7 linked regions of the Macaca mulatta genome follow. Each later gene encodes a partner of the first gene's protein in a complex. Links are inferred from orthologs where the notes say so. Each region holds a gene or a part of one and is shown in the gene's direction. Other genes may lie near its edges. The genes, in order: SNRPD1, DHX16, LSM7, GPKOW, SNIP1, SCNM1 and CWC27.

Region 1 (4,198 bases):
AACCTGAAAGAGGTAAGGGGAGTGTTTGTGTTAAATCTTGATGAAGTTCACACCTGTAATCCTAGCACTTTGCACTTTGGGAGGCCTAGAGAGGCAGATCACTTGAGGTCAGGAGTTCAGGTCATCCTGGCCAACATGGGGAAACCCTGTCTCTACTAAAAAGACAATAATTAGCGGGGCGTGGTGATTCCCCCCTGTAATCTCAGTTACTGGAGAGGCTGAGGCACGAGAATCGCTTGAACCGGGGAGGCAAGGGTTGCAGTGAGCCAAGATCGTGCTACTGCACTCCAGCCTGGGCGACAGAAGGAGACTCTGTCTCAGAAAAACAATAAAAAATTTTGAGGAGATGTTGTGAAAGATGAAGATTGAAAAGTTTGTCTTATAGATCGGAACTTAAAGTGAAAATAATCCGCTACATTGTGTGATTTTATTTTTTTATTTTTATTATTTTTTGAGACGGAGTCTCGCTCTGTTGCCAGGCTGGAGTGCAGTGGCGCGATCTCGGCTCACCGCAACCTCCGCCTCCTGGGTTCAAGCGATTCTCCTGCCTCAGCCTCCCGAGTAACTGGGACTACAGGCGTGTGCCACCACGCCCAGCTAATTTTTGTATTTTTAGTAGAGACAGGGTTTCACCATGTTGGCCAGCACGGTCTTGATTTCTCGACCTCGCTATCTGCCCGCCTCGGACTCCCAAAGTGCTGGAATTACAGGCGTCAGCCACAGCGCCCGGCCCATTGTGTGAATTGCTTCAGGTACATTAAGTAATGCTAAGGTTCCTGGCGTTGGAACAGAATTAGCATAATCCTTTGGGCTTCTCTAAGAACTTATTTTCGTTCAGTGAGGAATTTATATTAGGTGCTGCACTCACGGTGCCCTGCTATTCAGAAACGTGATGGTGACAGTACGTGTGTGTGTGTGCGCGCGCGCGCGCGCGACGGAGTTTCGCTCTTGTTGCCCAGGCAGGAGTGTAGTGGTGCGATCTCGGCTTACTGCAACCTCTGCCTCCCGGGTTCAAGCGATTCTCCTGCCTCAGCCTCCCGAGTAGCTGGGATAACAGGCGCCCGCCACCACATCCGGCTAATTTTTTGTATTTTTAGTACAGACGCGGGTTTCACCCTATTGGCCAGGCTGGTCTTGAACTCCTGACCTCAGGTGATACCCCCGCTTCGGCCTCCCAAAGTGCGACAGTCCTATTAATTGGATTTAATCTCTTCGAATCTCCCTCTCTTGTGGGACACTTTTCCTCTTAGACCAGCCCTCAACACCCTCAGTCGTGGCAAGGCAACCTCCAGCCGCCAGGGGCCGCAGTCGCGCTCCTCGCGACCGGAAGAGAGTGCGGCCCAGCGCAGCCTCGGCGTTTCCGCCGTGCGTCTGCTGTGCTCCGCGCGCCCTTTACGACCGGAGTCCCTGGAGTAGGCGCTTCCGGCCATTCATACTGCAGTCGGTCAGTATTCGGTTGTTGGATTCTGTGCGCTCTCGGACCCGAAGGGTGACGGCGCCGCTAGGATGAAGCTCGTGAGGTGAGGGAGTGACCAAGCAGCTCCGGGGGCTGTGGAGGGAGGGCTTGGCCCGGAGTCCGGAAGGCTGGGCTCTCCCATTTGCAGGAGGCGGGAAAGCCGCGTGTGCGCGGCCTGCTAACGGCCGGCCTTACTGCGCCCGCAGCTCGTGCTCGGGCCTGGGCTTCCGCCTGGGTCGCTCGCGAATCCCGCGTGTCTTCCAAGATACTGGTATAAAGGCCGAGCCTTTTCTTCCCGCCTAGTGACTTAGAGACTTTCAAGGTACAGCGCCGCCTGGGAGACATCTCGCCCTTACAGTTACTGATTTTCTTTTTGAGTGGAGCTCCAGCCCTACTTAAGAGTACTTAGAAAGCTGTATGAGCTTATCTGGAAACAAACCTGTTTGCAAACTGTTTTAAATCAGAGAAGGACTTCTGGCTTCACAAGTTTTTGTTTTTGTTTTTGTTTTAAATAAGACGGTGTCTCACTTTGTTGACCAGGCTGGTCTCGAACTCCTGGGCTAAAGCGTTCTGCCTGCCTTGCCCTCCCAAAGGGCTGAGATTACCGGTGTGAGCCACTGCGCCCGGCCGATTTTTAAGTTTATCTTTTGATTCTCCTTAGACTTATGATTGATTATTCTACCTCTTTCCTGTTAAGGTAAGCTTTTTATTTAGGAAAATCTCCCAATATAGGGCAGAAATTATCACAACGTAATTGTGGCTGATTACCCAGATGATATATAGTTATTCTGTTTTATTTCTTTCGCGAGAAATAGACCCTGTCACTTAGGTGAGTCTTCTGGAGACTAATTCCAAACTACCTGCGAGTAGATTTGGTTTTGGTCTTTTTCCTTGAGACTGAGCCTGGAACAGAGGCAGACGTTTCTAATAACTAAGCCATCGATTATAAATATTTAGCTTGTTTCTTTCCTGTTGAGTCAAGGATTGTCATTATCCGCTAAATAGTTATTGGGCACCTGTTACCTACTGGGCGCTGGTAATAGTATTTTTTAAAAGGCAGATCCTTGTTGGAGCTTTCTAGTTAGGGGGATGACAGACAAGTAGATAACGTCTGAAATAACGTTTGTTTGAAACGTTTTAAATAACACATAAAAGCCTTCAATATTCAGGGAGGAGGCCAGGCGCAGTGGCTCACGCCTATAATCCCAGCACTTTGGGATGTCAAGGCGGGCAGATCACTAGGTCAGGAGTTCGAGACCAGCCTGACCAACATGGTGAAACCCCGTCTCTACTAAAATTACAAAAATTGGCCGGGCGTGGTGGCGCGCGCTTGTAATCCCAGCTACTGAGGAGGCTAAGGCAGGAGAATCGCTTGAACCCAGGAGGCAGAGGTTGCAGTGAGCTGAGATTGGCCACTACGCTCCAGCCTGGGCAACAGAGCGAGACTCCGTTGCAAAAATAAAAAAATAAAAAATAAAAAATTCAGGGAGGAGTTGGTACAAAAGACAATTAAGATTAATTTTTGTTGTATTTTTATTTGAACTATAATTTTGGATAGGAAGTCATAGAATTTAAAGTGCATTTTTTAGGCTGGACGCGGTGGCTCACGCCTGTAATCCCAGCACTTTGGGAAGCTGAGGCAGGCGGATCGCCTGAAGTCAGGAGTTCAGGACCTGCCTGGCCAACGTGGTGAAACCCCGTCTTTCGAAAAAATACAAAAATTAGCCGGGCGCCTGTAATCCCAGCTACTCAGGAGGCTGAGGTAAGAGAGGCGCTTGATCCCGGGAGGTTGTAGTGAGCCGACGTCACACCACTGTGCTCCAGCCTGGGCAACAGAGCGAGACTCTGTCTCAAAAAAGAAAATTACAACATTTTTTGAAATTTCTCCATACCAGCCGGGCGCGGTGGCTCAAGCCTGTAATCCCAGCACTTTGGGAGGCCGAGACGGGCGGATCACGAGGTCAGGAGATCGAGACCATCCTGGCTAACGCGGTGAAACCCCGTTTCTACTAAAAATACAAAAAACTAGCCGGGCGAGGTGGCGGGCGCCTGTAGTCCCAGCTACTCCGGAGGCTGAGGCAGGAGAATGGCGTGAACCTGGGAGGCGGAGCTTGCAGTGAGCTGAGATCCGGCCACTGCACTCCAGCCTGGGCTTCAGAGCAAGACTCCGTCTCAAAAAAAAAAAAAAAAAAAAAAAAAAAGAAATTTCTCCATACCTGCTAATCTGAATCTTAATCTACTCATAGTTCAATTTTATGTAATACACCTTGGATTTCATTTGTTCCCTTTAAATATATTGCATGTTATGGCAATTTTCCAGTAATTTTTAATACCTGGACTGAATCCTGTTTTGTGTCTTAGGTCAAATATAGAAAGAAAATTTTTTTCTTACCAGAGAATGTATTTTTCCTCCAGAAAATGATTGTTTGACTAACTGGTTTGCGTTTTCAGTAGACTTATTTCTGTATATCAGTTGGTAGTTGTCATCCTTATTCTCACTGTCACCCTAACCAAAAACCTGGGAGGTGAGCTTGACTTTTTCTCTACTGATGTCCTTGACATTTGATACACTGCCAGTTTTACCTACTGCATAAAAGTGTCCCACATTTTCCTGTTTGTTTTTTGGGTTCAGATAGTGTGTTTTGATACTGAGGGACACCGTGTTATCTGACTATTTGATATCTAAGTTTCACTAAGTAGAAAGAATTCAGATACTGAAAGATTCGTCTGAAAATAAGTTGA
Region 2 (3,500 bases), on another chromosome or scaffold:
GAAGCTTGGGAATGAGGTGAGATTTCTAGGGAACTGGGGGGTAGAGACTGGGGTCTGTGACTCAGTCTACACTGCCCTCAGGTCCCTACGGCAGAAGTCTTGGTGCTGCCCCACTTCACCTTTCCCCAGGTTCCTTTCAGGGCACACCATCCAACACTTGGTTGCTAATGATTTCCCTTGACCAGGTTGGCTACAGCATCCGCTTTGAGGACTGCACGTCAGAGCGAACTGTCCTCCGCTACATGACAGATGGGATGCTTCTCCGGGAGTTCCTCTCTGAGCCTGACCTTGCGAGTTACAGGTACATACAGGGCCCTCATCTCCCATGAGAGAGCTGCCCACATTCTCTTCCCCCTGTGCTGCCGCCTCCCTCCCACTCAGTTCTCTCCTGGATCTCTAATCTCTGGCTTTTCTCTCATTTCTTGCCACCCAGCCAATTCAGCCATTGTCTTCTGATTAATCCACCAGTTCTTATATCGTTATGGTTCAAACGGTCCTTGAACTGACCTCCAGGTACCACTGAGATGGGGCTGGAGGATAGAAGAGATTGTAGAGAAAGCCTCTTCTTCTTTCCCCATTCATCTCCAGGGTTAGGAAACAACCAGGATAGCATAGCATTGCTGCGGAGGCTTGAAATGCCATGTGGAGACCATTTGAAAACACCTGGAATGCTCAGCTCAGAGGGAGAAGCAGGAGAGGCATCCTGGTTCCCTCTAAATATGTGAAGGCTGTGACATGGAAAGAAGGATGAGACTTGGTTTATGTAACCCTACAGGATATAGCTAGGAGCCATGGGGAGGTTACAGGGAGACAGATTCCAACTCAATACCGACGGCTGAGTAACCCTCAGAGTGTTGGAGATTGCAGGGCCTGTCACAGTGGTTGGACTCTGGATCTTGGCCCTCCACACAAGTCTTGGGTAGCTTGGTCTGTGAATAATGAGCTCTTAGTGCTGGAAATGGCCAAGCAGAGGTTGGTTGAACATGTGTTGAGGGGGAAAAGGGATTCATGAATGTGCTGGGGTTGGGGTCAGGCCAGCTGAACAATATGTGCCCTTTTGACTCTTCAGAGGCTGTGAATTTCTGGCCCTGGAAGATCACAGTGGAGTGATTGGACAGATAGGATTTTATCCTTCATATCCCTTGCAAAAAATCTCTGAGAACCCATGGGGAGCCAGCCAGTGCAAGAGGGCCTGATGCAGATATTTTTGCCCATCGAGCCAGCCTGCTTTGTGGAATGACTGGGGGCTTCACCATCACAGTTAGGGTTAGGGACAAAGAGTTGAGGTCAGAGAGGTGGGTAGGGGAAGATGAGGATGAGTTCCTGGGACTTGGCTGCCACCCAGAAAAGCCAAAAAATAAAGCAAAGAGAAAGAAGGTGTCATGCACATAACTGAGTTAGGAGGAAACCAGGGAGCATGCAGAGTCCTCTGAGAGTTGGGGTAGAAAGGCTTAACTTGCTCCTCTCTGCAAAAGAAGAATCCTTCTTGGCAGGTCTCGCTGTGTCACCCAGACTGGAGTGCAGTGGTATAATCTCGGCTCACTGCAAGCTCCACCTCCCAGGTTCATGCCATTCTTCTGCCTCAGCCTCCCAAGCAGCTGGAACTACAGGCGCCCGCCACCACGCCCGGCTAATTTTTTTTTTTTTAAGTAGAGACGGGGTTTCACCGTGTTGGCCAGGATGGTCTCAATATCCTGACCTCGTGATCCACCCTTCTCGGCCTCCCGAAGTGCTGGGATTACAGGCGTGAACCACCGCACCTGGCCTCTTTTTTACATAGAGTGTCGCTCTGTCACCCAGGCTGGAGTGCAGTGGCTCAATCTTGGCTCACTGCAACCTCTGCCTCCCGGGTTCAAGCGATTCTCCTGCCTCAGCCTCCTGAGTAGCTGGGACTATAGGTGTGCGCCACCACACCTGGCTAATTTTTTTTTGTATTTTTAGAAGAGACAGGGTTTCGCCATATTGGCCAGGCTGATCTCAAACTCCTGACCTCGTGATCTGCCTGCCTTGGCCTCCCAAAGTGCTGGGATTACAGGTGTGAGCCACCGTGCCCAGCCTAAAGCATATCCTTCAACTTTTTCTTTTTTTTTTTTTTTCTTTTTCTTTTTTTTCTTTTTCTTTTTTTTTTTTTTTTTTTTGAGACGGAGTCTCGCTCTGTCGCCCAGGCTGGAGTGCAGTGGCCGGATCTCAGCTCACTGCAAGCTCCGCTTCCCGGGTTTACGCCATTCTCCTGCCTCAGCCTCCCGAGTAGCTGGGACTACAGGTGCCCGCCACCTCGCCCAGCTAGTTTTTTGTATTTTTAGTAGAGACGGGGTTTCACCGTATTAGCCAGGATGGTCTCGATCTCCTGACCTCGTGATCCACCCGTCTCAGCCTCCCAAAGTGCTGGGATTACAGGCTTGAGCCACCGCGCCCAGCCTCGTTCAACTTTTTCTAGTAAGAGCAGCTACTGAGTCTAAGCAGACTCTTGACTGAACTAGAGAGTATGTCTGACTTGTCCTGGCCTCAGTGCAGCCTCTACATCTTGGCTTCTATTGTCTGCTGAGGCTGGGATAGGTTGCAGATCATGGGTCCCTGGCCGTCTCTGACTTTCTGTTGGTCTTACATAACTGGGATGGCTGAGTTCTCCTTAGAGCCCCCTCCGTCAACAGTCATTCTTGAGCTCTTTGTGTCCATCACTCCCCTCTCGTCCAGGGAACCCTGGTGTCTGATACTGCATTGCCCAGCGCTCCTCCCTCATTGCTGCCCTATTCCCTCCCCAGTGTGGTGATGGTGGATGAGGCTCACGAACGGACCCTACACACAGACATTCTCTTTGGATTGATCAAGGATGTTGCTCGCTTCCGACCTGAGCTCAAGGTCCTGGTGGCTTCAGCCACACTGGACACTGCCCGTTTCTCCACCTTCTTTGATGACGCCCCTGTGTTTCGAATCCCCGGACGCAGGTTTCCTGTGGACATCTTCTACACCAAGGTGCTACCTCAGGGAGGATGGGCTTAAGTCTGTGGCAGAAAAGCTGAGGCCTTTGGAGAAAGTTATCCCAAGGAGGGAAAGATGGAGTGGAAGGTCCAAAGGGGAACTAGGATAAAGTATATGTTGAACTGGGAGGAGAGGAAAGGTTTGCCTAAGCAGGTGGCCCTCCTGTGACCCCATCTCTTTCTGCTCTCCAGGCTCCAGAGGCTGACTACTTGGAAGCTTGTGTTGTATCTGTGTTGCAGATCCACGTGACCCAGCCCCCTGGGGATATCCTGGTGTTCCTGACAGGACAGGTGCCTGACATGGTTGGGAGAGGGGAGGGTGTATCTCAGGGGAAGACGGGGCCGGCATGTTGGCCTTCTGTGACTCTGGGATCCCTGCTGCTCTCCCCGCCCTCTATCCAGGAGGAGATTGAGGCTGCCTGTGAGATGCTCCAGGATCGCTGCCGCCGCCTGGGCTCCAAAATCCGGGAGCTCCTGGTGCTGCCCATTTATGCCAACCTGCCCTCTGACATGCAGGCCCGC
Region 3 (4,205 bases), on another chromosome or scaffold:
CTGTCCCAGCAGAGCACTCCGTCTCCCCTAGAGGAAGCCCTGTCCCCATCAGCTGTCACTGCCTGTCGCCTCTCCGGCACCCACACATCCCCTCCCTGTCTCTGTGGATTGGCCTGTCCTGGACCTTTCATAGAAACGGGATCACACGCTGCGCGGCCTTCTGTGGCTGGCGTCTCTCACCGAGCGTGGCGTCCTCAGGCGCGTCCTCAGGCACATCCGCACCGCGGCCTGCGCCAGCCTCGCTCCTCTTCCCGGCTGGTGGTTCCACCGCATGCATGTGCCGCGGCCTGTTTTGCTACTGTTTTGGAGCGGAGAATTGTTTTTATGACTTTTAAATATCTGGAAAGGGATCAAAAGAAGACTGTCTCATGATGTGGAAGTGATACGAAATTCCCGTTTCAGTGCCTGTGTGTCGAGCTGACTGGCCACGGTTCAGCCACACGTGGACTCATCACCGAAGCTGCTTCCACCCAGGCAGCCCGAGCCAGCAGCTGTGACCGGCACCCTGTGGCCCACACGGCCAGAAGTGTTTGTCCTCTAGCCCCCCGCAGACACAGTCGGCTGCCCATGGTGGGGGTCACTCTGGAGGCGCCTGTCACCAGCCCCTCCCGGGAGCCCTCCCCCACCCTCAGTCCTCCATCCCTGAAGCAGTGAGCCCCATGCCTGGGCCACGCTGGGGCAGGCCGTGTACCCAAGATGGATCTCATGCCTTCTCATTTCTCTCCCCCGGTGATTTCTCCAAGCCAGTGGAATCCTGAAGGGCTTCGACCCACTCCTCAACCTTGTGCTGGACGGCACCATTGAGTACATGCGAGGTGAGTGGGGCGGTGGCTGAGGCGGGCAGCGGGATGAGGAGGGCAGTGGGGTGAGGGGGCAGCAGGGCAAGGGAGGCGGCCATGGAGCTGCCTGCTGCCTCTTCCTCCCTGAAACCCACAAAACCTCACTCTGAGGCACCAACGTGAAGCCTTGTGTTGGCCGATGGACGGGCTGAGCGCTCACCGGTCCTGGACGTCCTCACAAAGCTGGAAACTCCATTGTTGTGGGGCCTGGAGAGACGGGGAAGCTTCCCCACTGGTCTCTACATACTGACAGGGCACTTAAAATGCTCGCAGCACAGTTAGAGGACAGGCTTTTTAAATGTTGTATTATTTCAGTTTTTGTTAAACTGGTGTCGCGAGGGGCCGGGCACGGTGGCTCACACCTGTAATCCCAGCTGCTCGGGAGGCTGAGGCAGGAGAATCGCTTGAACCCGGGAGGCGGAAGCTGCAGTGAGCCAAGATGGTGCAACTGCACTCCAGCCTGAGAAACAGAGTAAGACTCCGTCTCCAAAAAAAAGAGATAAGCTGAGGTCTCACTGTGTTGCCCAGGCTGGTCTCAAACTCCTGGGCTCACGCCATCCCCCTGCTTCAGCCTCCCAAAGTGCTGGGGTTCCAGGTGTGAGCTGTGGCACCCAGCCGAGAGCAGCCTTGCTGTGGGAGAGCGAGCGTGCTGTGGGACCCCTCTCGGGCCCCTCTCCTCTTCTGCCTTGTTAATCCCCACTATGAACGCAGGGCCCCCATCCCCTCCCCAGAGAACACTCCCTCATTTCCCTGCCCCTGCTCGCTCTCCTCCCCAGTGAGGCCGCCAGGTCCTCAGACTCTCCCCGCTAGAAGATCCTGCTGCAAGTCCCCAGCCCGGCCCAGGCATCGGGGGGAGGCCAGGACTTAGAAAGAGACAGTCTTACCCCTCGGACCCATTGATACTGACACAAGATTTATTCTTGGAGCTGGCCACGGTGGCTCATGCCTGTAATCCCTGCACTTTGGGAGGCCGGGACAGGAGGATCACTTGAGCCCAGGAATTTGAGACCAACCTGGGCAACATACTGGGACCCTGTCTCTACAAAAAAACAAAAAAAAAATGAATTAGCCAGGCATGACGGTGCATGTGCCTATGGCCCCAGCTACTCGGGAGGCGAAGGCAGGAGGATTGCTTGAGCCCAGGAGGTTGGGGCTGTGAGCTGGGATGACGCTACTGCACTCCAGCCTGAGGGACAGAGCAAGACCTGGTCTCTAAAACAAAAATGTTAAAAACCTGGGCCCCGTGGTTCTCCCATGCCCCCACCAGCACACGACCACAGTAGTGAGGAGTTTTCATTGCCGTCAGCCTCTTCAGAGCTTGTCTTGGGCTTGCTGGTACTTCCCTGGGGTGCCAGCCCACATGATCCCCACGTGGGTCCCACCCACATGAACAGCCTCTTTTTTTTTTTTTTTTTTTTTTGAGACAGTATCTCACTGTCACCAGGCTGGAGTGCAGTGGCGCCATCTCAGCTCACTGTAATCTCCGCCTCCCGGGTTCAAGCGATTCTCCTGCCTCAGCCTCCCGAGTAGATGGACTACAGGCGCCTGCCACCACACTCAGCTAATTTGTTGTATTTTTAGTAGAGGCCAAGTTTCACCATGTTGGCCAGGATGGTCTCAATTTCTTGACCTCGTGATCTGCCCACCTCAGCCTCTCAAAGTGCTGGGATTATAGGCGTGAGCCACTGCACCCAGCCCAGCCGCTTTTTTTTTTTTTTTCTTTCTGAGACGGAGTCTAGCTCTGTCGCCCAGGCTGGAGTGCAGTGGCCGGATCTCAGCTCACTGCAAGCTCCGCCTCCTGGGTTTACACCATTCTCCTGCCTCAGCCTCCCGAGTAACTGGGACTACAGGCTCCCGCCACCTCGCCTGGGTGTTTTTTTGTATTTTTTAGTAGAGATGGGGTTTCACCGTGTTAGCCAGGATGGTCTCAATCTCCTGACCTCGTGATCCGCCCGTCTCGGCCTCCCAAAGTGCTGGGATTACAGGCTTGAGCCACTGCGCCCGGCCAATTTTTTTGTATTTTTAGTAGAGATGGGGTTTCACCGTGTTAGCCAGGATGGTCTTGAATCTCCTGACCTCGTGACCTACCCGCCTCGGCCTCCCAAAGTGCTGGGATTACAGGCGTGAGCCACCGCACCCAGGCCCCAGCCTCTTATAGGGTGAAAATTGGCCCCCTAGGGTTCCAGGAACCCTGCAGAGACCAGGAGGCCCGGGGTGCCTGTATTCTGGCTGGCCATCTGATAACCTGGTCCCCAGCCCTGGTGCCTGGGCTCCAGTGAGCTCCAAGACCCAGGGTAGCCGGCTGTCGCTCAGGCCTCCCTGTTCCTGTGGTTTGTGGAGTGAGGGCAGGCTGTGGCTGCTGTCTGTGGAGCTGTCGCTGGTCTCTAGGGGCTGTGGGTCTGAGCCATGGGAGCCGGGGACCTGCCCCGCAGAGTGCACCCCCTCTGGGGTCCCCACATGCTCATGGCACCCGCAGGGTGCAGGTGGGGAGGGCGGAGCGAGGGTCTTGTGTCGGTGGGAATTCTCAGAGGCCTCCTGGAGCTCCCTCAGCCCTCTCTGTCTGCTCCTTCCCAGACCCTGACGACCAGTACAAGCTCACGGAGGACACCCGGCAGCTAGGCCTCGTGGTGTGCCGGGGCACGTCTGTGGTGCTGATCTGCCCGCAGGACGGCATGGAGGCCATCCCCAACCCCTTCATCCAGCAGCAGGACGCGTAGCCGGGCCAGGGCTGCAGGACAGGCCGGAGCAGCTTGGTTCCCCACAGACTTGGCCGCCGTTCCCACCACGGTGCCACCTGCTGGAACGGAAGTGCTTTCCTTTTTGTATAGGTTGAATTTTTGTTTTCTTAATAAAACTGCAAACCTCATTGTGTTTGAGCCCCAGAATCTTGCTTTTCCCTTGACCTTCTGAGGAAACCTGTATTCTTGGAGATTGGACTCAGACCCTGGAGCTCATCAAATACCAGCCATGGTCCTTCCTGGGGGTGAGGGTTCACAGGTGACCAAGGCAGGTACAGGCAAGGCCGGGACAGGCGAGTCAGGAGCCTCAGTCCGATGAGGGGCTTGTGGAACCCCAGGCCAACCCCTGAGACAGCAGGAGCCGGGTGCATCAGGAGGGTGGGTGCATCAGGAGGGTGGGTGCATCAGGAGGGTGGGTGCATCAGGAGGGTGGGTGCATCAGGAGGGTGGGTGCATCAGGAGGGTGGGTGCATCAGGAGGGTGGGGTGCATCAGGAGGGTGGGGTGCATCAGGAGGGTGGGTGCATCAGGAGGGTGGGTGCATCAGGAGGGTGGGTGCATCAGGAGGGTGGGGTGTATCAGGAGGGTGGGTGCATCAGGAGGGTGGGGTGTATCAGGAGGGTGGGGTG
Region 4 (4,137 bases), on another chromosome or scaffold:
TTCACCATGTTGGCCAGGCTGGTCTCGGACTACTGACCTCACAAGTGATCCGCCTGCCTCAGCCTCCAAACGTGCTGGGATTACAGGTATGAGCCTGGTCAGTAGGCACTATTTCTTTCTTTCTTTCTTTCTTTCTTTTTCTTTTTTAAGACAGAGTCTCGCTCTGTCGCCCAGGTTGGAGTGCAGTGGCGGGATCTCGGCTTACTGCAAACTCTGCCTCCCGGGTTCAAGCAATCCTCCTGTCTCAGCCTCCTGAGTAGCTGGGACTACAGGTGCCACCACCAGCCCGGCTAATTTTTGTATTTTTAGTAGAGACAGGGTTTCACCATATGAGTCAGGCTGGTCTCAAAGTCCTGACCTCAGGTGATCCACCAGCCTAGGCCTCCCAAAATGCTAGGATTACAGGCATGAGCTACCACGCCTGGCCAGTAGGCACTTTATGTCTATTATTTACTATTGTAGACAACTGACACTCCTTCCCCCGCCCCCGACCCTGACTTTTTCTTTTTTAGAGACGGGGTATCGCTCTGTCACTCATGCTGGAATGCAGTGGCGCGATAGGAGCTAAGTGCAGCCTCGAACTCCTGGGCCTCAGGCCATCCTCCTGCCTCAGCCTGTGGGCTAAATGAAACTACAGGTGCACGCCACCACACCTGGCTGATTATTTCTAAATGATTTACTTCATCAACACTTCCCACATGAGTAGGGCACACAGTAGGCGCTCCATAAATACTTGTCAAACGCCTACACGAAGGAATCAATGCCTGGCAAGAATGAATCCACCTTCCACCATGCCTACCTCGCTAAAAACTACATTTCCGGCCGGGCGTGGTGGCTTACGCCTGTAGTCCCAGCACTGTGGGAGGCCGAGGCAGGCGGATCACGAGGTCAGGAGATGGAGACTATCCTGGCTAACACGGTGAAACCCGTCTCTACTAAAAATACAAAAATTAGCCGGGCGTGGTGGCGCATGCCTGTAGCCTCAGCTACTCGGGAGGCTGCAGCAGGAGAAGCGCTTGAACCCGGGAGGCAGAGGTTGCAGTGAGCCGAGATCACGCCACTGCACTCCAGCCTGGGCAACAGAGCAAGACTCCATCTTAAAAAAAAAAAAGAAACAAAAACAAAACAAAACAAAAAAAACTACATTTCCCTGTGCACTTGGCGCGACGCACTCCCACGACGTTTGAAAGAGCGACAATTACTTCCCACGGCCCCTTACCGCCCCCTCCCGCCGGTGCCACAGTGGTTGATGGGAAGGTAGTTTTTACGCACTTTGGCCGGCCCCTAGCGATCTGAACCCAAACTAAATTTCCCAGCAAGCAGCGCGCAGGCCTGGGAAAAGTGGCAAGATGGCTGACTCCGAAGAGGGTGTTTTGCCGCTGACGGCTGCTTCCACTGCCCCAATTTCATTCGGCTTCACTCGCACGTCCGCACGGAGGCGGCTGGCCGACTCGGGAGACGGCGCGAGGCCATCTCCGGAGGAGAAGGATTTCTTGAAAACCGTGGAAGGGAGGGAGCTGCAGAGGTGACGCGCCGGGTCTTTCACACCTTGGAAATCGCTGCGGTGGGCGTAAGCGGGAGGGAGGAACCTCACTCAGTCGTTTGTCTTGGTGACAGTGACCTGTTAAGCCTGAAGCACAGCCTGAGTAAATTCGTGAAGGCCAGAAGGCTGGAGTTTATAAGAGGGGTGGGGAAATTGGGCCTGATAGCCGTGGGAATTGCGAAGAGAGGATGTATCACTGAGAAGAAGTGTCTTTAGGACTTGAGGACACTGAGGTGTGTGCGTTCTGGGAGAAGGAAAGAATGAGAAAATGACAGGACCTGCTAGTGTCTCAGCTGAAGTGGTGGGGCTTCTCTGATATGGGGAACGGGATGGAGCGGCAGATTCAGGTTGATGGAGGCCACCATCAGCTTAATGAGGAGAGGAGAGTCTGAGGGAGGGATTTCCAGAAGAGAATCAGGCATCTGGGAAGCTGTTTGGGAACCTGGAGCTAGGGAGGGTCTAGGCTGAAGATAGTGATTTGTGGGCCATTGTGGAAGCCGGTCTTGAGTTAAACAGAGAGTCCAGGACTTATTTCTCGAAGGCACTGACATTTACGAGTTGGGGGCACTGGGGGGGATAATCCAAAGAATGCACGATCAGAGAGGTACAGGAGATCCAGACATGGAGTAGAGAAGGCATGGTCTGTGGGGCTGGGGTGAGTTTGGCTCTCGTGTTTTCTCTGAATAAAGGAGTGTGACCCACTGACACTGCCATTCTCCCAACCCCACCCCTCTGTGTCCACATCAGTGTGAAGCCCCAGGAAGCCCCCAAGGAACTCGTCATCCCTTTGATCCAGAATGGCCATCGCAGGCAGTCACCAGCCCGGCCCCCTGGGCCATCCACAGATACTGAGGCCTTGGCAGATGGGGTGCTGTCCCAGGCTGTGAAGGAGCTCATTGAGGGTGAGTGATGCCCCTTTACCCTTCCCCAGTGAAGGAAGAAGATGAAGAAGGTGGAAGGATAGAGTGGGACTTCATTGCTCCCTCCTATTCTTCCCTTAGAATCCAAGAAGTCTCTGGAAGAGAGAGAGAATGCGGGTGTCGACCCCACGCTCGCTATCCCCATGATCCAGAAAGGATGCACCCCCAGCGGGGAAGGGGCAGACAGCGAACCCCGGGCAGAGACAGTGAGCTGGCCCCTTGTCCCCCTCCTGCCCCAGCCTTTCTTTGCCCTGTCTGCTAGGCTGTGTCCCTGCACATAGCAGGGAAAGTCTGTGTGCTAGAGGCCCGCCACCTGTCCTTTCTCCTGTCATCCTTTTTGGAAGCATTACCAAATGAATCTGGATATCTGGATGCTAAAAACGTACTTGAATCCTAGGATTATCTGAATGAGGTGTGCAGCAAAGGGAACAGGAAATGTAAAGGCCCTGAAGGTAGACACTGCCTAGAGTGTTTGCGGAACACCAAAGAGACTAGTGTGACTGAAGTGGAATGAGTGAGGGGAAGGGATAGTAGACGAAGTCAGAAAGGAGATGGGGGTGCTAGACAAGGCAGGGCCTTGTAGGCCATTGTGAGGACTTTGGCTTTTACTCTGAGTGGGATGAGAGCCTAGGCAAGCCCTGAGCATAGATGAAATATGATTTATGATTTGACAGCATCCCTCTGGCTGCTGTGAACAGACTCATTAGTGAAGGTGGAAGCAAGGGGATGAGTAGTCCAGGCTAGAGATGCTGGGGACTTAGACCAGAGTGGTCTGGAAGGATAAGTAGGGTTTAGTGAGAGGGAAGAACAGAGTGAGTGTTCCTGTTGGTAGTAACAGCCCAAGCAATGGCATAGTGGCAGAAAATCGATGTGGTGTGTGTCCATCAGTGAGGCAACATGTGGTGTGTCTGGAGTGAATGGGAAGGAGTGATGATGGAAGGTGACGAGGAGATGTGAGAGGCGTGTCTACAGGAGTAACCAAGTCTGTCTTTCATACCCACAGACCTGACTTTTCACCTCTTCTTTCATAAATTTCTTACATTGCTTCTTTGGAGTCTAGTTCTCCTACAGCCCCAGAACACTCTCTTTCAACTGAACTGTTCTCTTCAGCCTTCAGATGTGCTCTGATTTCCTTCAATTTTTTTTTTTTTGTTTGTTTTTTGTTTTTTGAGACAGAGTCTTGCCCTGTGGCCCAGGCTAGAGTGAAGTGGTACGATCTCGGCTCACTGCAACCTCCCGCTCCCGGGATCAAGCGATTCTCCTGCCTTAGCCTCCCAAGTAGCTGGGATTACAGACACGTGTCACTACCGCCTGGCTAGTTTTTGTATTTTTAGTAGAAACGAGGTTTCGCCACGTTGGTCAGGCTGGTCTTGAACTCCTGACTTCAGGTGATCTACCCACCTTGGCCTCCCAGAGCGCTGGGATTACAGGCATGATCCACTGTGCCCAGCTCCTTCATCTTTAAAGAAAAAAAAGATCCTCACTTCCCTCTTCATCCTTTCATCCTGTTCCAGCTTTAACCTCATTCCTCTAATTTTTCCCTCTATAAACCTCCTCCTGCAGCTTTATACATATCAGGTGACCAAAAATTCCATCCATCCTTCCTCTCACTCAGCATAAAAACCTTGGAGTCGGCCAAGCCTGTAATCCCAACACTTTGGGAGGCTGAGGTGG
Region 5 (3,500 bases), on another chromosome or scaffold:
CTAACGAGAGACCTGGGAGTGGGCAGGGTCAGGGACGGGAGCGAGACACTCAGAACCTGCAGGCTCAGGAAGAAGAGCGGGAGTTTTATAATGCCAGGCGACGGGAGCATCGCCAGAGGAATGACATTGGTGGTGGCGGTAGTGAGTCTCAGGAGTTGGTTCCTCGGCCTGGTGGCAACAACAAAGAAAAAGAGGTGCCTGCTAAAGAAAAACCAAGCTATGAACTTTCTGGGGCACTTCTTGAGGACACCAACACTTTCCGGGGTGTAGTCATTAAATATAGTGAGCCCCCAGAAGCACGTATTCCAAAAAAACGGTGGCGTCTCTACCCATTTAAAAATGATGAGGTGCTTCCAGTCATGTACATACATCGACAGAGTGCGTATCTACTGGGTCGACACCGCCGCATTGCAGACATTCCTATCGATCACCCATCTTGTTCAAAGCAGCATGCGGTCTTTCAATATCGGTAAGTAACATGGAGGAAGAAACTCTAATGTGAGCAGAAACAATTGCTCAGTTAGTTAGGATTACTAAGATTTTTGTTCATACATATACAGAAGAATCCCATACCCCTCATATCTAAAGAGTATTGTTAATCTAACTTCCCTTTAAATAATTGTTTACATATTTATAAGAACATTATACTTTTAATCTATTTTTTGTTTTTTTGTGACAAGGTCTCACTCGGTCACCCAGTCTAGAGTGCAGTGGAGCAAAGACAGCTCACTCCAGCAACCTCTTGGGCTCAAATGATTGTCTCCCACCTTGGCCTCCTGAGTAACTGGGACCATAGGCATGTGCCTCTGTGCTCTACTAATTTTGAAACTGGTTCTTGATAGCTTGCGTGGGACATCTGTGATGATTCTCACAACAATCCTGTGAGAAGGATAGGACCGGTTTTTGGTTTTTTGTTTTTGTGAGACGGAGTCTCCTTCTGTGCCCAGGCTGGAGTGCAGTGGCGTGATCTCAGCTCACTGCAACCTCTGCCTCCTGCGTTCAAGCGATTCGCCTGCCTCAGGCTACCGAGCAGCTAGGAATACAGGCGCACGCTGCCACACCCAGGGAATTTTTGTATTTTTAGTAGAGACAGGGTTTCATTGTATTGGTCAGTCTGGTGTCGAACTCCTGACCTCGTGATCCACCCGCCTCGGCCTTCCAAATTGCTGAGATTATAGGTGTGAGCCACTGCGCCTGGCCCATTTTTTGTTGTTGTTGTTGGTTGTTGTTTTGTTTTGTTTTAACATGGTCTCCTGACTTTGAATGGACAAGTATTTATATCCCCATTTGACAGATGAGAAAACTGAAGCCCAGCAAAACCAAGTGACTTGCCTAACAAATGATCACTATAGTACAGTGGTCCCCAGCCTTTTTGGCACCAAGGACCGGTTTCATGGAAGACAGTTTTTCCATGGAACCAGGGACATGGTTTCAGGATTCAAGTGCATTACATTTATTGTGCACTTTATTTTCTTTTTTTTTTTTTTTTTTTTTTTTTGAGACGGAGTCTCGCTCTGTCGCCCAGGCTGGAGTGCAGTGGCGCGATCTCGGCTCACTGCAAGCTCCGCCTCCCGGGTTCACGCCATTCTCCTGCCTCAGCCTCCCGAGTAGCTGGGACTACAGGCGCCCACAACCGCGCCCGGCTAATTTTTTGTATTTTTAGTAGAGACGGGGTTTCACCGTGGTCTCGATCTCCTGACCTTGTGATCCGCCCGCCTCGGCCTCCCAAAGTGCTGGGATTACAGGCGTGAGCCACCGCGCCCGGCCTATTTTCTAATATTATCTCATTGTAATATATAATGTAATAATTATACAACTCACCATAATCTAGAATCAGTGGAAGCCCTGAGCTTGTTTTCCTGCAACTCGATGGTCTCATCTGGGGGTGATGGGAGACAGCGACAGATCAGGCATTAGATTCTCCTAAGGAGCACGCAACCTAGATCCCACTTGTGCACAGTTCACAATAGGGTTCACGCTCCTATGAGACTAATGGCACCGCTGATCTGACAGGAGGCGGAGCTCAGGCAATAATAATACGAGTGATGGGGAGCAGCTGAAAATACAGATGAAGTTTGGCTTGCTTGCCTGTCTGCCCACTGCTCACCTCTTGCTGTGCGGCCTGGTTCCTAACAGGCCACGGACTAGTACCAGTCCATGGTCCAGGAGCTGGGGACTCCTGCCATAGTAGAACTCTGGCTCAAATATAGCTCCCTTGACTCTGAAGTCCAGGTCCACTGTTTTTTCCCATTTGGACAGGAACTGAAATATATTGAAATATAGGTTAAAGAAACATTGATTATAAACAACAGAAAAAAATGTATTTTCTTAACCACAGCAAGAGACTTTGGATTCTGCATTTCCACCTTTTGATCTTCCATGGATTCTCCCCACCCTCCAGTAACCCATTCTCACCTTTTCTACTAAATATATTTAAACTTCCAATTTCCCTTCCCAGGGCCATGCTTTCCCCTTGATTTCTTTGATTCCCTAGAATTTTAACTTGAATTATGCTCAAGTCAGGTTATTTACATCATCTAGGCTGTCTTAGCAAAGAGCTTCAGAGAGGATGGATGATCTGAGGCAGAAGTTTGCTCATAGGTTTCTCCTTTTTCTCTGCTAGGCTTGTGGAATATACCCGTGCTGATGGCACGGTTGGCCGAAGAGTGAAGCCCTACATCATTGACCTTGGCTCAGGCAATGGAACCTTCTTAAACAACAAACGTATTGAGCCACAGAGATACTATGAACTAAAAGAAAAGGATGTACTCAAATTTGGATTCAGTAGCAGAGAATATGTCTTGCTCCATGAGTCGTCGGACACTTCGGAAATAGACAGGAAAGATGATGAGGATGAGGAGGAGGAGGAGGAAGTATCTGACAGCTAACAAACTAAGAACCCAAACTATTGAGACACGTTTTCCTTGTTGGAAGGCTTTGATTGACTCAGAGAGCACTATGGTGGTGGGTCCAACACTATCATGCTCTCTGTAATGCCTCTTACTGCCTTAAGTCTTTCCCCTGTTGCTGACCAGATTGTGTTACCATTTGAATACACTGACTAATGTTTGTTAAACTTTTTCTGTGGCACCTTGGCCACATGCCTGCAGGCATTTGTTTTCGGAACAGTCTCACCAATTACAACACACCGTGTTTTAGTAGAAGCGTTGTGGTTTTAGTTGGTGCTTTCAGAACTGCTGCCTAGGAAACTATAAACCCTTGGTTAAGGGTAAATCATGGCTTGTTCTCTTTGTACAGTTAACTTTATTTATATAGGTATTAAGCTTTGTGGACCAGGTGTTTTTCTTTTGGGGTGAACCCCTGAGCAGAGAATCTTACTAGGCTTTGGTTATCACCAAAACAACCTCCAGTATATACCAAAGCTTTGACCTGGTTGAGCTCTTGAGCTTAGAAGTTGATTTTGCACTTAGTCTTTTGGGGGTGGGAATGTACTGCAGTCAGTAAACGTTATTGACTGTTTAACTTAAACAGATGCTTTA
Region 6 (3,984 bases), on another chromosome or scaffold:
CTGGCATGATAAAATAGGAGCTGTTCCTCTCCATTGGAATAGTAGAGCAGAACTTGTCCCAACCACGCAGTGCAACACTGTGATGGGAAAACAAAGATAAAAGCAGAACAGAGTTCAACACATTAGGAACATTTCAGGGGAGGTTACCTAGAAGGTCCACTACATTCTTCTCAGGACTAAATCCCTCCTGACTCTTGTCTGCACCCCAATCCTGGAAAACTCACCGTCACCCCATATTTGAGTGCTAGTCCAGCCAGGGTGTCTCCGGGCTCCAAATGATGCTCCAGGCGTCTTTCCCTCACTGGGGAGCAGGCCGATTGCACCAGGCTTCCATATGAACGAGCCCGGCTCCCGTGAAGCAGTCCTGACCCCCCTGGCGGGGGCTGTCTAGACGGGGAAGCCATCTCTTCACCCTGCCGACAGCTAGGTTGCAACTAGGGGAGGCCCGACCGAGACTGCGAATGACAGGCCTGAAGTCTGGGAATAGATATTCAGGGGATTCCTTTCCCCTTCTCTCTTCCCCTGTGTCCCCGCCTCCCCAGCACTACGCCACCTGCCCCCTCCCGGTTTCTCCTCCCTCCAAGTCCTTATCCACAAATCTGTCCCTTGAGTATTCAGTCCCTCCCTGATTCGCCCCTAAGCACCCCTCCGACTTTGAACTCCCCCACAACTCCTCGCTACATTGACCTCTGACCTTTGAACTCTAGAAATAATCCTCAACACTCTTTCCTCAGTTTGCCCCCAAGTAGTCTGGCCTCAGGGCGCTCCCACATCCCAGCTCTGCCCGGTCCCGGGGTTTGTTTGCTAGAGCCAGGAACAAATCAGGCCCACCCCAGGTGAACTGTCGCCGCAGACGAAGAGCGTGAGGATTGCGAGAATTTGTAGTACACCTTCCACTCAGAGATCCTCAAAGGTCCGCTCCGCATCAGATAGGTCACACCCTCAAATTTCGGCTCCACATCTAGGTTCTTGTCCCTCTAAACGCCTCAGATCCACCAAGATGCAAGGGCCTGGATCCAGCTGAGCGGCAAGGTCTTTGAGGAAAAGACTTCATTTCCCAAAAGGCGTCGCGTCTGCGGAGTCGCACGGCACCATAGGAAATGCAGTTCCCTCCACGCGCCAGAGAGTGGATATCCGGATGGCGCAATGCATGCGTGGAAGTGCATTCCCGGAAGTACGGGGGCCGACAGGAAGACAAAGAGAAAAGAGAAGGCGCTGTCCCGCTCTTGCTACGGTGGCCTAGAGGAGTGGCGAAACCGGAACAAGAAAATTTATCACTTCTGGGACTCACAGTCGTGATGTCTTTCAAGAGGGAAGGAGACGATTGGAGTCAACTCAATGTGCTCAAAGTAAGCGTGAGCGGAGAGGATCTGCAGCCTCTTCAGTCGCTCTCTGAAGGTTGGGAAGGAGCTTTGTTTCATTGCTCTGGCAACAACTCGGGGGTGCAGGAGAGAACCAGGCGACTTAGAGCTGTGTAGTGACTCCTTTTTCGGTCTATGATCGCTGTTCTCCCCAGGGTCCTTATGTCCTTATTCCGTTTGACTCCTCATTTCTATCATTTAACTTCCATCCCTCTCTCCTATCCTGCTGATCCGTCCGGATTTCTTCCCCTACTCCCTGCAGAAAAGAAGAGTCGGGGACCTCCTCGCCAGTTACATCCCAGAGGATGAGGCGCTGATGCTTCGGGATGGACGGTAAGAGCGAGGAGTGGCTCAAGCCTGAGGGTTTTGCGGTTAGAGGCTCAATAGCTGTGTTGCCCAGGCTGTCCTTGAACTCTAGGGCTCAAGTGATCCTGCCTTCTCAGCGTCGCGATTAGCTGGGATTACAGGCGCACGCCACCACGCCCGGCTTCAACAAACTTTTGTTATTAATTAGGACAGCAGAAGTATCTAGGATTCTTTGGCGGCTAGTGAGGACTGGAAGAAGTGGAGATTGGGTCACCAGGGAGTTGGGTTTTGCAAAGACTGCTAGGACAGGGTGGGACTTACGGCAGGGACAGGCCCAACCCTCTTCCCCTGGACCAGTTATCCTCTTCTCTACCCCTGCTCAGCTTTGCTTGTGCCATCTGCCCCCATCGACCGGTACTGGACACCCTGGCCATGCTGACTGCCCACCGTGCAGGCAAGAAACATCTGTCCAGTAAGTTCGGGGGAAGACAGGGGATGGGGAATAAATCGAAATCTCTGCACACCAGCCTTGGTGCTATGCTTTTAATTCTGTTTCCCTTTCTCTTCAGGCTTGCAGCTTTTCTATGGCAAGAAGCAGCCGGGAAAGGAAAGGAAGCAGAATCCAAGACATCAGAATGAATTGAGGAGGGAAGAAACCAAAGCTGAGGTAATCAGAGAGTGGAGAGTGTGTTCTAGGCAAGACCCTGCTGCACACACCAGGCTGGAAGGGCAGAGGGCTGAAGGCTCTGACTCTGTCTCCCATCTTCTTACCAGGCTCCTCTGCTAACCCAGACACGACTTATCACCCAGAGTGCTCTGCACAGAGCTCCCCACTATAACAGTTGCTGCCGCCGGAAGTACAGGTATGGGAGGGGAAAGCCAGAGGTAGGAAGGCTCGGAAGGAGATAGAGGGCTCTGAAAGTGTTTTCCAGTCTGTATTCTGAGGAATACTAGCGTTCTGGAGATGTTACTTAGTGTTTCAAGAAAAGGAGAATTTTGGCCGGGCACGGTGGCTCACACCGGTAATCCCAGCACTTTTGGAGGCTTAGGCGGTGGATCACTTGAGATCAGGAGTTCAAGACCAGCCTGGCCAACATGGTGAAACCCCGTCTCTACCAAAAATATAAAAAATTAGCTGGGTGTGTGGTGTGTGCCTGTAATCCCAGCCACTCAAGAGGCCGAGGTGGAAGAATTGCTTGAATCCGGGAGGCAGAGGTTGCTGTGAGCCAGGATCATACCACTTCACTCCAGCCTAGGTGACAGAGTGAGACTCCATCTCAAAAGAAAAAGAAAAGGAGAATTTTGTGATTTTTAAATAAAGTTTGGGAAATGGCACTTTGTAATTCTACTTGAAGAGTAACAGTTTTAGGCCGGGCGCAGTGGCTCAAGCCTGTAATCCCAGCACTTTGGGAGGCCGAGACGGGTGGATCGCGAGGTCAGAAGATCGAGACCATCCTGGCTAACACGGTGAAACCCCGTCTCTACTAAAAAATACAAAAAACTAGCCGGGTGAGGTGGCGGGCGCCTGTATCCCAGCTACTCGGGAGGCTGAGGCAGGAGAATGGCGTAAACCCGGGAGGCGGAGCTTGCAGTGAGCTGAGATCTGGCCACTGCACCCCAGCCTGGGTGACAGAGCAAGACTCCATCTCAGAAAAAAAAAAAAAAAAAAAAGAGTAACAGTTTTAAAAGCTATACAAAGTCTTAAGAATTAAAAAAAAAACTTGTAAAATTTAAAGCTAGCCTTTCCCAAATTCATGATTCTAAAATCCTTTGTATGCAGAACTTACTAATATCTTGAAAAATATAGTTTAAGAAACACTGTTTTAAGAGGTTGGGAGTCATAGGAGAGTTGGCCCTTTCCCTTACTGCTTTTACAGACTATTCTTCTCTACCTAGACCAGAAGCCCCTGGTCCCTCTGTCTCCCTTTCTCCTGTGCCACCCTCAGAGGTCGAACTCCAAAGCGGGAAGATCAGTAGGGAACCTGAACCTGGGGCTGGCCCACAGGCCGAGGAGTCAGCAACTGTCTCAGCCCCTGCACCCATGAGCCCCACAAGAAGACGAGCCCTGGACCATTATCTCACCCTTCGAAGGTGAGTGTGCCTAATCAGTTTCCTCAGATTTTCTTTTCTCTCTGACCCTTCTTGTTTCAAAGCTTTTTTTTTTTTTTTTTTTTTTTTTTTTGAGACGGAGTCTCGCTCTGTCACCAGGCTGGAGTGCAGTGGTGTGATCTCATCTCAGCTCACTGCAACCTCCGCCTCCCAGGTTCAAGCGATTCCCCTGCCTCAACCTCTCGAGTAGCTGGGATTACAAGCATGT
Region 7 (3,500 bases), on another chromosome or scaffold:
AGCTTCTAAGTTATAGGGGTCATAAAAATGAACTAGTTTCATTGCATACAAATTATGATGAGAATTTAGTGCTTCAAGTTGGTAATTCAGCAGACTTCTTTTTAATGATATTTTTTAAAGAAAAGATGTTTTTAAAATACTATTTTCAGTCAATAGAAGAGTAAGATTCTTACTTATAAAACTTTAGTTTGTATTGAACCTTTCAGGGATACGTCTTTTGCTAACCATATTATATCATTGCTAGGTTTTATGTAAATTTGTTAACTCGTCATTTAGGAATACTGTTTATTTCCCCCCTCATGATTATATTGTACATTCTTTCCAGAGCATGAAGGGCAAAAGCAAAAGTAGTCATGACTTGCTTAAGGATGATCCACATCTCAGTTCTGTTCCAGTTGTAGAAAGGTTAGTCCATTGTTGGTGTGATCCTAAGTTCTTAATTTTCTGGGTCAGATAATTTTCTTGCTTCCTCTGTGAGTAAACAGTCAGTACTCATAAATCAAAAATTTCAAAACCAACCAAAAAAATAACGCATTTTGATAACAGAGATAGAGAACTTCAAGCTTGATAGAGAGAAACACTCTAGTCACTTTTGCACTTGCTCTCTACCTCTGTTGAGTAAGTTACATTTAAGATTGTTTTACCATTACGTGTTAGGACTGGAAACTGTTTGCTTTAACAGTTTAATGTTTAATTCAAGGTTGTTTTGCTGTTTTTCTTGAAGCATGTTTGCCTTAATTGTATCATGAATGAACAAATTCAAGTTGAAGGTTTTTGTGAAGAAATTACCAGTGTGGGGGCCAGTCCGCTGACTGTAAATTCTCACATACTTTGAGGAGTTAACAGAAAGTTGTCTTGCTACCTTTGTTCTTCTCTTTGAGAAGGGAAGATGTCTTGGTGTTAGATGTGATTGCACAAGATAAACTGGGCCATTATCTCAAGGGGCACTACAATGCTGTTGTACTCAGTTTAGCTCATTTTTGAAACTCCTGTTTTAGGACAATCTTTTCTTAATATCCTTTTATTTGAAGGATTTGGGGTTTTTTAGCGAGAATACTTCAAGCCAATAGAAGAAATTGTTCTTTGCAGACCATTGTTCATAAAAATAGCACTGTTGGTTGTTGTTTGCTTTTTTTCTTTCAAATTCTAGTGAACGCATATATTTGCTAATGAATCATACTTGTTCCACTTATAAAGAGTGTTTCCATCTGTTCTATAATGCCCTTCTTAAATTCCTATGTTGAAATACATTTTTGGAATGTTATTCCCAGCAAACTATTCTAGATTTTTGGTTTACAAAATAATTGTATTAGTTTTACCTTGAAACTAAAATTTGTTTTGCTTATTTTTTTATAGTGAAAAAGGTGATGCAGCGGGAGATTTAGATGATGTAAGTATTTATTTTGGTATAAATATAGTTTGAACAATTCATAGAAAGTACAAAATTTTTACAAAGACTTAATTTTGTTCTTAAAAAGTAATGTGCATTACTTTTTATAGTATAGTATAATGTATAACTTTTATAGTTATATATGTCAAATTTTGGAAAAATATGAAAAATAGAAATTATCCATTTAGGTATTAGAATATTTCCTTACTCTAGGGGTGTGCGTGAGTGTGTTTATATATCTCTCTACAACATTAGAATCTTATATATGAATTTCTAGTCTGTTTTTTTCTCCCCTTCACATAACATTACATTAATACTCAAACTTGAGATGTTATAATTTTATTGTGTTAAAAGTTTAAGTGTTGGTGTGTGGGCATCCTACATGATACATGGGAAATGCTTTGATCAGTCATTTATAGTAGTGTCCCCTTTTTATATACACATTTCAAAAGATTCTCATTCAAGACTGTAGTGATCTTTGTTAGTTGTGTTGGGTAATAAAGCTAACAAAACAGAAGGAAGATTTTCCTTTAATACATAAGAGTCAAGTTTTGCAAATTATACATATGCCACTTTGTATATAAAAATCCATTAATCTGTGCATTATATAATTTACTAGGAAGTACATAACTTTCCATGCATGAACACAGATTTATCTATTATCACAGTCAAAAGAGAAGGCTCTCTCTGGCTATCAGTAGGAGATAGAGAGAGGATGAATATCTGACCTTGTCAAGAAAACCTTCCTGGAAGAGATGATGGTGTTTATGTCTTACATGAGAGTTAGGAGTTAGATAAGTCAGAAAAGAAAGTGGTGAAGGGTAGGGTCCCTCTAGCTCAGAGAACAGCATATACTAAAGCATGGAAATAAGGAGAGATTATACCTTATTTAGGAAATACAAACAGAGATTTAAAGTTTCAAGGAGTCTGTCTTGTGAAGAGCAAGGAAGAAGATTATTGAAGGTAAGGGGAACTGCATATACAAAATAGTCCGAAGCAGGAGAGTTTGGTGTGTTCTAAGAGCTGCAAGCAGGCCAACGTGAACAGGATGTGGTGACAGGCCAGAGCTTCATTACAGAGCTTCATAGGCCGTGGTGAGGAGTTTGAATTTTTTCTCAAAAGGAAGTGAGGAACAGTTGAAGGGTGTTTGTTAAAAAGAAGGATGCTGTGATCAATTTTGCATTTCAGGAAGATCACCGTTGGTGATATTATAGAGGACAAATTAGAGGAAACAGACTGATGTCAAGGACAGCCACTGGGAAGCTATTGCAGGAGGAGAGCTTGATATAAGACCACAGCTGTGAGATGGGAAAGAGGTAGATTTGAAAGAGGTCTAGGAGGTGACTGATTCCATACTATGAGGTGAGGGAGGAGTAGTCCAAGACAACCACAAGGTCTCTGGTTTGGGCAACTTGTTAGATGGGTACAAAAGAAAGCATAGGGTTGAGATGGAGAGAAGGATGAAAAGTAATGAGCTTAATTTTATACATTTCAAGATTGAAGTAATTTGGAGACATCTGTGTAACATAATATGGGTCTAGAAGATAGGATCAATGTATAGGATAGAATGTAAAAGTATAAATTTGCTCTTAATATCATGGGTGGGTGACTAAAACTGTAGATCCTTTCCCAGGAAAATATCCTACATTCACAACCAAAATTATATGAATTTGCCGGGAATTTTTTTCAGATCTCCTGAGGCCTGAGCATGGAAGGCCTAGGTTGGTGGTTGTCAACTTTTAGTGCTTAAACATCTTGTTGAAAACATTCATAATTTCTGCCCCCAGAGATTTTGGTTCAATAAGTCTGCAATGAGGACTAGAATTTCAGGTGTTAATAAACAACTATGTAATACCATCTAAAGACCAGACTTTGAGGACCACTGCTTTAGGGGTCCACAAGTCTCAAATTAAGAATCCTGCTTTCACTACGACTCACCAGATCAAAGAAAGAATCACGAAATAAAAATGATCTACTTGGGGTTATTTCTTCCTTCTTCTCTCCCCTCTTTCTTCCCTTCATTCCTCCCTCTGTTAATGCTGGGTACCATTCTAGGAGTTGAAGATACAACAGTAAGCAAAACAGGCCAGAATTTTAGCCCTCATGGAGT

What was found.
Region 2: SNRPD1 (region 1) and DHX16 share a complex: the UniProt entries of both Homo sapiens proteins name them as parts of the minor spliceosome. The link is inferred for Macaca mulatta from reciprocal best matches to the Homo sapiens genes SNRPD1 and DHX16.
Region 3: SNRPD1 (region 1) and LSM7 share a complex: the UniProt entries of both Homo sapiens proteins name them as parts of the U4/U6-U5 tri-snRNP complex. The link is inferred for Macaca mulatta from reciprocal best matches to the Homo sapiens genes SNRPD1 and LSM7.
Region 4: SNRPD1 (region 1) and GPKOW share a complex: the UniProt entries of both Homo sapiens proteins name them as parts of the minor spliceosome. The link is inferred for Macaca mulatta from reciprocal best matches to the Homo sapiens genes SNRPD1 and GPKOW.
Region 5: SNRPD1 (region 1) and SNIP1 share a complex: the UniProt entries of both Homo sapiens proteins name them as parts of the minor spliceosome. The link is inferred for Macaca mulatta from reciprocal best matches to the Homo sapiens genes SNRPD1 and SNIP1.
Region 6: SNRPD1 (region 1) and SCNM1 share a complex: the UniProt entries of both Homo sapiens proteins name them as parts of the minor spliceosome. The link is inferred for Macaca mulatta from reciprocal best matches to the Homo sapiens genes SNRPD1 and SCNM1.
Region 7: SNRPD1 (region 1) and CWC27 share a complex: the UniProt entries of both Homo sapiens proteins name them as parts of the minor spliceosome. The link is inferred for Macaca mulatta from reciprocal best matches to the Homo sapiens genes SNRPD1 and CWC27.

What each region holds. Positions count from the first base shown.
Region 1 is NC_133423.1:70,797,268-70,801,465, reverse strand, and holds the start of SNRPD1 (small nuclear ribonucleoprotein Sm D1), read left to right. Parts: upstream 1-1,398; 5' UTR 1,399-1,506; coding exon 1,507-1,520; intron 1,521-4,198. UniProt on the Homo sapiens protein: Plays a role in pre-mRNA splicing as a core component of the spliceosomal U1, U2, U4 and U5 small nuclear ribonucleoproteins (snRNPs), the building blocks of the spliceosome.
Region 2 is NC_133409.1:152,384,635-152,388,134, forward strand, and holds part of DHX16 (pre-mRNA-splicing factor ATP-dependent RNA helicase DHX16), read left to right. Parts: coding exon 1-16; intron 17-185; coding exon 186-301; intron 302-2,762; coding exon 2,763-2,973; intron 2,974-3,170; coding exon 3,171-3,269; intron 3,270-3,380; coding exon 3,381-3,500. UniProt on the Homo sapiens protein: Required for pre-mRNA splicing as a component of the spliceosome. Contributes to pre-mRNA splicing after spliceosome formation and prior to the first transesterification reaction.
Region 3 is NC_133424.1:3,071,154-3,075,358, reverse strand, and holds the end of LSM7 (U6 snRNA-associated Sm-like protein LSm7), read left to right. Parts: intron 1-180; exon of another isoform or gene 181-339; intron 340-743; coding exon 744-815; intron 816-3,413; coding exon 3,414-3,556; 3' UTR 3,557-3,705; downstream 3,706-4,205. UniProt on the Homo sapiens protein: Plays a role in pre-mRNA splicing as component of the U4/U6-U5 tri-snRNP complex that is involved in spliceosome assembly, and as component of the precatalytic spliceosome (spliceosome B complex).
Region 4 is NC_133426.1:49,204,849-49,208,985, reverse strand, and holds the start of GPKOW (G-patch domain and KOW motifs-containing protein), read left to right. Parts: upstream 1-1,337; 5' UTR 1,338-1,349; coding exon 1,350-1,525; intron 1,526-2,290; coding exon 2,291-2,445; intron 2,446-2,544; coding exon 2,545-2,669; intron 2,670-4,137. UniProt on the Homo sapiens protein: RNA-binding protein involved in pre-mRNA splicing. As a component of the minor spliceosome, involved in the splicing of U12-type introns in pre-mRNAs.
Region 5 is NC_133406.1:203,258,086-203,261,585, forward strand, and holds part of SNIP1 (smad nuclear-interacting protein 1), read left to right. Parts: coding exon 1-469; intron 470-2,623; coding exon 2,624-2,888; 3' UTR 2,889-3,500. UniProt on the Homo sapiens protein: Required for pre-mRNA splicing as component of the spliceosome. As a component of the minor spliceosome, involved in the splicing of U12-type introns in pre-mRNAs. Down-regulates NF-kappa-B signaling by competing with RELA for CREBBP/EP300 binding.
Region 6 is NC_133406.1:115,922,672-115,926,655, reverse strand, and holds the start of SCNM1 (sodium channel modifier 1), read left to right. Parts: upstream 1-1,184; 5' UTR 1,185-1,298; coding exon 1,299-1,349; exon of another isoform or gene 1,350-1,398; intron 1,399-1,623; coding exon 1,624-1,694; intron 1,695-2,050; coding exon 2,051-2,139; intron 2,140-2,236; coding exon 2,237-2,334; intron 2,335-2,441; coding exon 2,442-2,530; intron 2,531-3,563; coding exon 3,564-3,758; intron 3,759-3,984. Other genes in the region: LYSMD1 (lysM and putative peptidoglycan-binding domain-containing protein 1), read right to left, coding at 225-404. UniProt on the Homo sapiens protein: As a component of the minor spliceosome, involved in the splicing of U12-type introns in pre-mRNAs. Plays a role in the regulation of primary cilia length and Hedgehog signaling.
Region 7 is NC_133411.1:72,852,601-72,856,100, forward strand, and holds part of CWC27 (spliceosome-associated protein CWC27 homolog), read left to right. Parts: intron 1-325; coding exon 326-405; intron 406-1,356; coding exon 1,357-1,390; intron 1,391-3,500. UniProt on the Homo sapiens protein: As part of the spliceosome, plays a role in pre-mRNA splicing. Probable inactive PPIase with no peptidyl-prolyl cis-trans isomerase activity. As a component of the minor spliceosome, involved in the splicing of U12-type introns in pre-mRNAs.